Canis lupus familiaris: one gene and its partner. The protein of the gene in region 2 purifies or fractionates together with the protein of the main gene of each other region. This does not show direct contact. Links are inferred from orthologs where the notes say so. Each region holds a gene or a part of one and is shown on either strand. Other genes may lie near its edges.

Region 1 (4,384 bases), on a different chromosome or scaffold from region 2:
CCGGGTGGCTCAGCGGTTTAGCAGCGCCTTCAGCCCAGGGCGTGATCCTAGAGTCCCAGGATCGAGTCCCGCATCGGGCTCCCCGCATGGTGGAGCCTGTTTCTCCCTCTGCCTGTGTCTCTGCCTCTCTCTCTCTCTCTCTCTCTCTTGTGAATAAATGGGTGAAATCTTTGGGGGGAAAAGAAATCTCTCTGGGCCAATAAAATGTGGATACCACCACATAGTGTCATAGAATTTAGAGAATCATATTAGTTCCCGTAGTAAAAGAGGTTATTTAGCAGTGTTTGGTACCACTGTTGTTCTCAGGTTACTCCTACTCATCCTTCAAAACCCAGTTCAAAATTCATTCCTTCAGGGTAGGCTTTGTGGACTCCCCAACAAATCAGACACACCCACCCTATTATGTCTTGCCCCCATGGTTCTTATGGCAATCATAATTTAATACCTACTACATACTTAACAACTGGGTATAACTTTATCTGATTCCTAATTGAGTGTCTATTTTGTCCAATTCTGTATCTCTCCAGCACATAGCAGGTGCTCAGAAGTAATTTGGTGAATGTTGAACAGGAAATGGCTGAATGAGTCAATTGCAAGGATGCCCAGATCTCTAATTTTCAAGTGAAAGCATTGGGAAAGTCGAGCTTTAATGAGGACACAAGAAGACTGAAGCTTGGTGGGGGTACTGGGTTATATAAGGAGCTACAGTGATGGGCAAGTCAGGTGAAACTGGGCGTGGCCCAGAGGAGCTGCCCCACAGGCCCAGCTCAGCCTAAACTACGGGGCGTACACAGGAGCAGCTCCAACACTAGAGCTGCTGAGGACCTAAGCCCAAAATTCCTAAGCCAAAGCCCACTGGCTGATGTGGTGGGTTACCCTGGGACAGATGGCTGCAGAAACCACCTGGCTTCTGGGCCCTCCCTCCCCTACCTGTTCTCACTGCTCTTACCCACCCCTTTGGCACACCAGCCCCAGGAACGGGCTCACTCTGATGCCTCAGGCCTCCCCCAGCCTGACATCAGAACCTCTTATAGGGTGGCCAAGCTTAGCAAATGAAAATACAGGATGCCCAGTTAAATTTGAATTTCAAATGAACAATTTTCTAGTTTAAGTATATCCTGTGTTGAGACGCCTGGATGGCTCAGTGGTTGAGTGCCTTTGGCTCAGGGTATGATTCCAGAGTCCCAGGATGGAGTCCTGCATCGGGCTCCCTGCATGGAGCCTGCTTCTCCTCCCTCTGCCTATGTTGTCTCTTTCTCTGTGTGTCTCTCATAAATAAATAAATAAAATATATTAAAATATATAAAAATTAAAAATATATATATAAAAATAAAAAACAAGTATATTCTGTGTTTAATCTGGCACCCCTAAACTCTCTGGTCTCATCAAACCCTCATCAAAGCATTTTGTACTCTCAGGTAACTGTCTGCTTTGGAGTCCTGAGCCTCTTGGAAGGGCAACTCAACCCCTCCCATCTGTTTTTGGCTCTGAATAAAGGGAATTCACGGTACTGGCCACTTAGGGTTAGTTAAAGACTCTAGCTCTTACCACCTAGTACAGATGCCATAAAGAGCCACCAGAATGGCCACTCTCCCACTCCATTTTTCTGGACACCATCTCCCGGGGCCCTCACCACAAAGCCTTCTGAGTTATGCAGCAAGGATAGCTGAACCGATTTTACAGAGGAGAAAAACCGAAGACTGTTAAATCAGAGGGAGGGCCAATAAGCAAAATCCCTGGTCTTTAGGATTCTCATGCTGAAACTCTTCTGGACTCTTCGATCAGATGTGACTGAACAGTAAACTGCAAGCTGCCAAAGGGCGGGCACTTGTCTTTGGGTTTAGGGGTGGACCCCCTAGAGCCCAGCACAGTGCCTGGCCCTTAGGAGGCACTGCATAAATATTTATGGAATGAGTGACTAGAACCCACCAGAGTCCCCATGACATAAGAGGGTGAATGGTCTTGTGTGCTCTCCCTGTCTCCCTCTTACTCCCTCCTTGTTCTGGGTCTTGAACTCAGGTCTGCCTTCCAGAGCTTTCTCCATAGCACCAACTATGGGGGGGTGGGAGGGGAAGTGCAGGAGAGGGGATGGTTAAGCTTAAAAGGGTTTTGGGCTTTTCTTCCGAAATGAAGCAAAATAACAAAATGTAGCTTTGGAAGGCAAGAAACATGACCGTGGAATGTCAAAGCAGCCATGCTGGTTGTTTTTTTGCTGGGAAGAAGGGATTTTGAGAACTTAATTCAACACAGTTGCTTTCGGTAGTCATTAAACACCTGCCATACCCTCCCATTTGCTGGCAAATCGCCCTGAAACAGTAAGGGAATAAATGACTTCCCAGGAGAAAAGGATTTTCTAGGGTATCTGAGGAGATGTGTTGAATCCATCCCAGAGAACCCTTTGAGAATACGGAGCTATGGGATGGACATGCTGATTAGCTCTTCTGGAGAATAGGCCACCAGGTAAACACAGACATCCACGGTACCTCCTCTTAATTGCATCCACCTAGACCTGAAGTCAGACATGAACATTGGGGTCTGACTCAGGGAATTTTTTTCTGTTTCCCATGGATGTTTTCTGGTCTCGGGGATACAAATGACAGGGCCATGAGGGGTGGTATGCAAATTTAGGGTCTGAGACCCATTTAATCAGGACTCATGGTCTTTATAATGAACCAGAAGTGACTTGGAGGCATTTTCATTGGGTTTTTACCTTTGGGGTGCTTCCTCCCATGACCAATGCCAGCCTGGTCAGGGATCTCATTCTGACCAGCAGATGTTTCTCCAGGGACTTCCCCTAAGGACATGCTCATCTGGAGAGATCCTTCAGCTTCACAGAGAGGCCTTTTCCAGAGATACCCAGCCCCACCCAGCAGTCACCCTCTATGACATCACGCTGCTGGACTGAGCGCTGAGGTTATCAACCATCAGACCACATGCTCCTCTTGATTTTTTTTTAAAGATTTTATTTATTTATTCATGAGAGACACAGAGAAAGAGAGAGGCAGAGATACAGGCAGAGGGAGAAGCAGGCTCCATGCAGGGAGCCTGACATGGGACTTGATCCCAGGACCCCAGGATCACACCCTGAGCCGAAGACAGACGCTAAACCACTGAGCCACCCAGGGATCCCCTATATGCTCCTCTTATATATTGACCTGCTGGCTCTTGGTCTCCCCAGCTAGGCCCTGAGCACCACCAAGACCAGATAGTGTCTGACTAGCTCACTCTGGATCCCCAGCCCCACAGCAGGCACGGAGGCAAAGCCTGGAAAAAGGATGGATAACAGTGATGATCTGACCGCCTGCTAATTATGTGCCAGCTTTTAGATTTTTTTCATCTATTAAGCCACTGAATCCTCACAGCATTGGAAGTCAGGTATCTCTCTCTCTCTCTTTTTTCTTTAATTAATTAATTATTTTTAAATTTTATTTTTATCATTTTTATTTTTTAAATTTATTTTTATTTTTAATTTTTACATTTTTTATTGACTTTTCTTTTTCGATTTTTTTTCAGTGAGGCAGGTATCTTGATTACAATGCTTTGCACTGGCCATTCCCTCTCCTTGCAATGCCCTTCCCTCAGATGTCCCTAGGACTCACCCCCTCTCTTCATTCAGAACTCTGCTCAAATGTCACCAACCCAGGCCTTCCCTTACCCCCTCCCTAAAGCAGCACCCTTCAACCTCATACCCTGCTGTTAGGGGGTTGAACGGTGTGTCCCCCCCCAAATGATATGTTCAACCTCCCACGCCCACCCCAGTAGCTCAGAATGGGGCCTTTTTGAAACAGGATCTTTACAGAGGTAATGAAGTTAAAATGGGGTCATGAGGGTGACCCCGATCCAATAAGACTGGTGTCTTTACATACAAATTTGGACACGGAGACAGGCACAGAAGAGGATGTGAGAAGTACAGGAAGAAGGTCTTGTGAAGACACAGCGTTGGAGTGAGGTGTCTATAAGCCAAGGAGAGTCAAAAGTGCCTATAGACCAGCAGAAGCAAGAAGGAGCCTACAAGTTTTCTCCAGCAGGTTTCAGACTAGCAGGGCCCAGCCCACAGTTTGGTTTCAGACTTCTGGCCTCTAGAACTGAGACACAATAAATAGCGGCTGTTTGTGCCCAGGTTGTGGTACTTGGTTACTATAGTCCTCGGAAAACAGTACACCTGCTTTATTTCTCTTCCTTGCTCTGATCACCACCTGCCCACTGCATGTATTTTATTCATCTATTTACTTCCGGCACCCACATGGGAACGTGAGTCTCTTAAGGCCACGGTCTCATGTTCCTGCAGCTGTTACAAGGCCTGGGGTTTATTTGTTCCTTCAAGAACAGTTTATTGAGTGTCTATTATGTGCCTGGTCCTGCTGTCAGTGCTGGGACACAGCAG
Region 2 (3,336 bases):
ACCCCGTTCCAGCCCACCCTGCTCCCTCCCAGGTCTCACTTGGCCTGCTGCGTGTGGAAGCTGGGGTGCTGGGTGTAGAGGTGGGCATGGGCGCTGGGCGCAGACTTGAAGGCCATGGGGCAGATGGGGCACTTGTGGAAAACCTCGCAGTGCGACGTCTGGATGTGGGACTTGATGGAGTTCACGCCCCCGAACACCACCGCACAGCTGGGGCACCTGGGGGGCAGGGGGCGCTGAGGTGAGGCAGGGTGTCTCCAGCCTGTCCCCCGGGCCCTGCTCCTAGCCGGAGGCCTATGGAGGCCGAACCGGAGCTCTCTCCCCTCTCCACGGGAGCAGGGCAAGAGCAGACCAATCTGAGGCTGAGGGGTTCAGCAGGAGATGGGGCTCTCCCTGACAGGCCAGCTCAAAGCCTGGTGCTGGGACACACGAGGCCATAAAGTGCCAGGGGGTGGGGGGAGGAGGTGGCAGTGGGGAAACAGTCACAAGGCTCCAGGGAGGAGAGGCAGGAGGCACCTGTATCCTACACGGCGAGACAAATGTAGACAGGCCTCCCGGAGATGGGTCTGGAAATTGGCCTGTAGGAAGTTGCCCCCACACTCAGGGCAGACGTGGGGAGGCCGGTTCTTATGCATGCGCTGGTGGGCACTGAAGCTGCAGCGATTGGGAAGCATCATGGGGCAGGTTGGGCATACCTGTCAACAGGAGTGGAGACAAGGTAAGTCAGCAAGGAGAGGCCCGACCCCATGACCTCCCCTGACCGAGCCCCCAACATCTTCCCAGATCTGACTCCCAGAGCGTTGGGCTCCAGCCCCGGGGAGAGCTGGGACAGGCAACTCACAGTGCTGTTGGCCCCAGGGGCCGGGGGCCCAAGCTGCTGGAAGTGGGCGGCCATGCCTGCCTTGTCCCGGCACTGCTCCTTGCACTCTAGGCAGCGAAAGCATGTGTAAGACGAGGTGGCAGGGGCAGCAGGCGGCTCAGATGACAGTGGTAGCACAGGGGCTTCGGCGGCGACAGCAGTAATAGCGCCAGCGACAGCCGCGTCACCCTTGCCCAGGGCAGGCAAGGCTGGAGGTCCGAAGGCAGGTGGGACAGCCAGCAGGGGCGTGATGTCTGGCTGCCCCACCATCTGGTCCAGGGCGACGGGCCTCATGACCAGGTGTGAGCACTGCATGACGAGCCCTTTGTCCTTGTGCTCTCGGGCATGCAGCAGCAGACTGCATTTGTTGAAAAAGACCAGGCGGCGGGCGCAGTGGTTGCAGGTGACCTCAATGCGCATGCTCCGGCGGTCATAGTGCCGCGCCAGGCTCTTCTCCAGTGAGAAGGCGTCCCCGCACTCGAGGCAGCGGTAGCCCGTGGGAGGCAGGGCCAGCCCGGCCTCGGCGGGGGGACTCAGGTTGGGCCGGTAGGCAGGCAGCAGGTTCTTGCTATTGAGGATCTTGTTGAAGGCCTCCACCAGGCTGGACTGGGTCCGCGAGATCACCGTGCCACCCCCTGCACCTGGCCCGGTGGCCGGCTTGGAAGGCTGCACCATCACCACTGAGGCACCGTTCACCTTCTGCCCCCCAGTCCCCAGCCCTGGCCGCCCCTCCGCCTTGGGCAGGGCCTGGGGCACCAGACCTAGCACATTCTTAGCCATAGTCTTAGGGCTGGTGGCAGTGCCCCCTGGCAGAACCACAGCTTTGCGGGCCACACTGGCTGCCATCAGCATAGCAGTGCTTGCATTCTGGATGGTGGCCACAGGCAGCACGGTGCCCTTCAGCCTCGTGCCGTCACCCAGCTGGACGCTCACCACCTTTGGACCCTCGGGGGTCGGGGTTGCAGGGGATAGCTTTAGGAGGCCAGCCTCAGCCAGGAGGGTCCCCTCAGCCAAGGGGGCAGGAGGATCAGGGTCTGAGGGGACCCGGGTTACAGTCCTTGTGATATTTCCGCAGGATGTTTTAATGGTCTTGATCCGCACCTTGAGAGGCCTTGAGGAGCTGGAAGAAGCAGGGGAGTCATTGCTGTCCTCATCTGCAGCCTCAGCTCCACTAGAGGGGCTCTGGGGACTTTTTGGGGAAGGCTTGTCCACCGGCCCCTCCTCCTCTTCTTCCTTCAGGGGCTGACAACAGGGCACTTTGGGGGAGGCAGGAGGGCTCTGATGCCCTGGAGACTGCTTGAAGAAGGGCAACCCAGCAACCTGGGGAGGGGAGGCGCTGGCAGGAATACCCGTGGCCTCAGGGCTCAAGCTAGAGCCTAGCCCGGCCAGGCCCTGAGGATGAAGGGGGCTGCAGCTGTCTTGCTTCAAGGTCCCCCGTACTGGGGGAGAACCAGGTGGCAGCAAGGCTGGGCCATTCTCCCTGGACAGCTCAAAGGGAGAGGGGAAAGGAGGTGGGGTCATGGCCCCTTCCCGAGGTGGGGAAGGTGCTGGGGGAGGGAGGGGATCAGGGTGCTCCCCTGGCTCAGGCCCAAAATGAGCAAAGAGGTCCAAAGTAGCTTTGCCTTCCATAGCTTTTTCTTTCCAGGTACCCCCACTGAGAGGAGCTGGAGAGTGGGGTGTACTTGGAAGGGATGACTCAGGGCCCCCAAAACCATTTTGCATCAGACGAGGCCCCACAGGCCCTTCCTTAGTCACCCCCCCAGCCCGGGGCCCATCTCCTCCTGAAATCCCAGCTGGGGACTCAGGCTGCTCAGGACACACAGTGTTCTTGACGATGACACTGACTGCCGAGATGTCTGGCGGTGGCAGGCCGTGATCAGAGGCCTGGGCTGGCACCTCAGGGCTGTCCCTGGCAGCTGCTGCCGGTGCTTCTCCAGAGTCACCTCCTATACTAGGATCCGGCTTTCCTGAGCCTCCAGGCCCTTCGTTTTCTTCTGGCCCAGAGTGGATGGCTTCATTGGCATCGATGTCAGGGATGTCAAAGGCAGCAAGGAGATCATCGAAATCAGGAGTCTTCATATCCCCCATGGCAGCAGGTCCCAGACCTGATGAAAACAGAAAAAAGAGTAAGAAATTGAGCCCTCTGAGGGCAGGAACCCTGGCCCTCCTCCCTCAGGATCTCCATATTTATCCTCTTGGGACCATGCGCAATCTCCTTGGGTACACTTTTACCACATCACAAATCCTAGAGCTGGTGGGGGCACCTGGTTTGCCAAACCCTAAAATTGAAAGGTAGGTTATGTGCACATTCCAGGGAAGACACCGAGATTCAGAGAAAGCAGAAGAAAAGAAACTTCTCAGAGACACAGTAGAGAAACAAGGGTAACAGAGACGGAGGAAGTTCAGTGAACATCTTGATTGAAATCACCTCAGCCCCTCCTGAGCCCAGCACAGAACCAATCAATTAATCAATACCATTA

Evidence for each region.
Region 1: the proteins of ZNF687 (region 2) and ZMYND8 purify together in Homo sapiens (affinity purification with mass spectrometry; 4 studies listed by BioGRID and IntAct, with this or other methods). This does not show direct contact. The link is inferred for Canis lupus familiaris from reciprocal best matches to the Homo sapiens genes ZNF687 and ZMYND8.

What each region holds. Positions count from the first base shown.
Region 1 is NC_049245.1:35,085,331-35,089,714, forward strand, and holds the start of ZMYND8 (protein kinase C-binding protein 1), read right to left. Parts: upstream 2,852-4,384; 5' UTR 2,711-2,851; intron 1-2,710. UniProt on the Homo sapiens protein: Chromatin reader that recognizes dual histone modifications such as histone H3.1 dimethylated at 'Lys-36' and histone H4 acetylated at 'Lys-16' (H3.1K36me2-H4K16ac) and histone H3 methylated at 'Lys-4' and histone H4 acetylated at 'Lys-14' (H3K4me1-H3K14ac).
Region 2 is NC_049238.1:61,012,122-61,015,457, reverse strand, and holds part of ZNF687 (zinc finger protein 687), read right to left. Parts: intron 2,962-3,336; 5' UTR 2,945-2,961; coding exon 839-2,944; intron 693-838; coding exon 514-692; intron 217-513; coding exon 40-216; intron 1-39. UniProt on the Homo sapiens protein: May be involved in transcriptional regulation.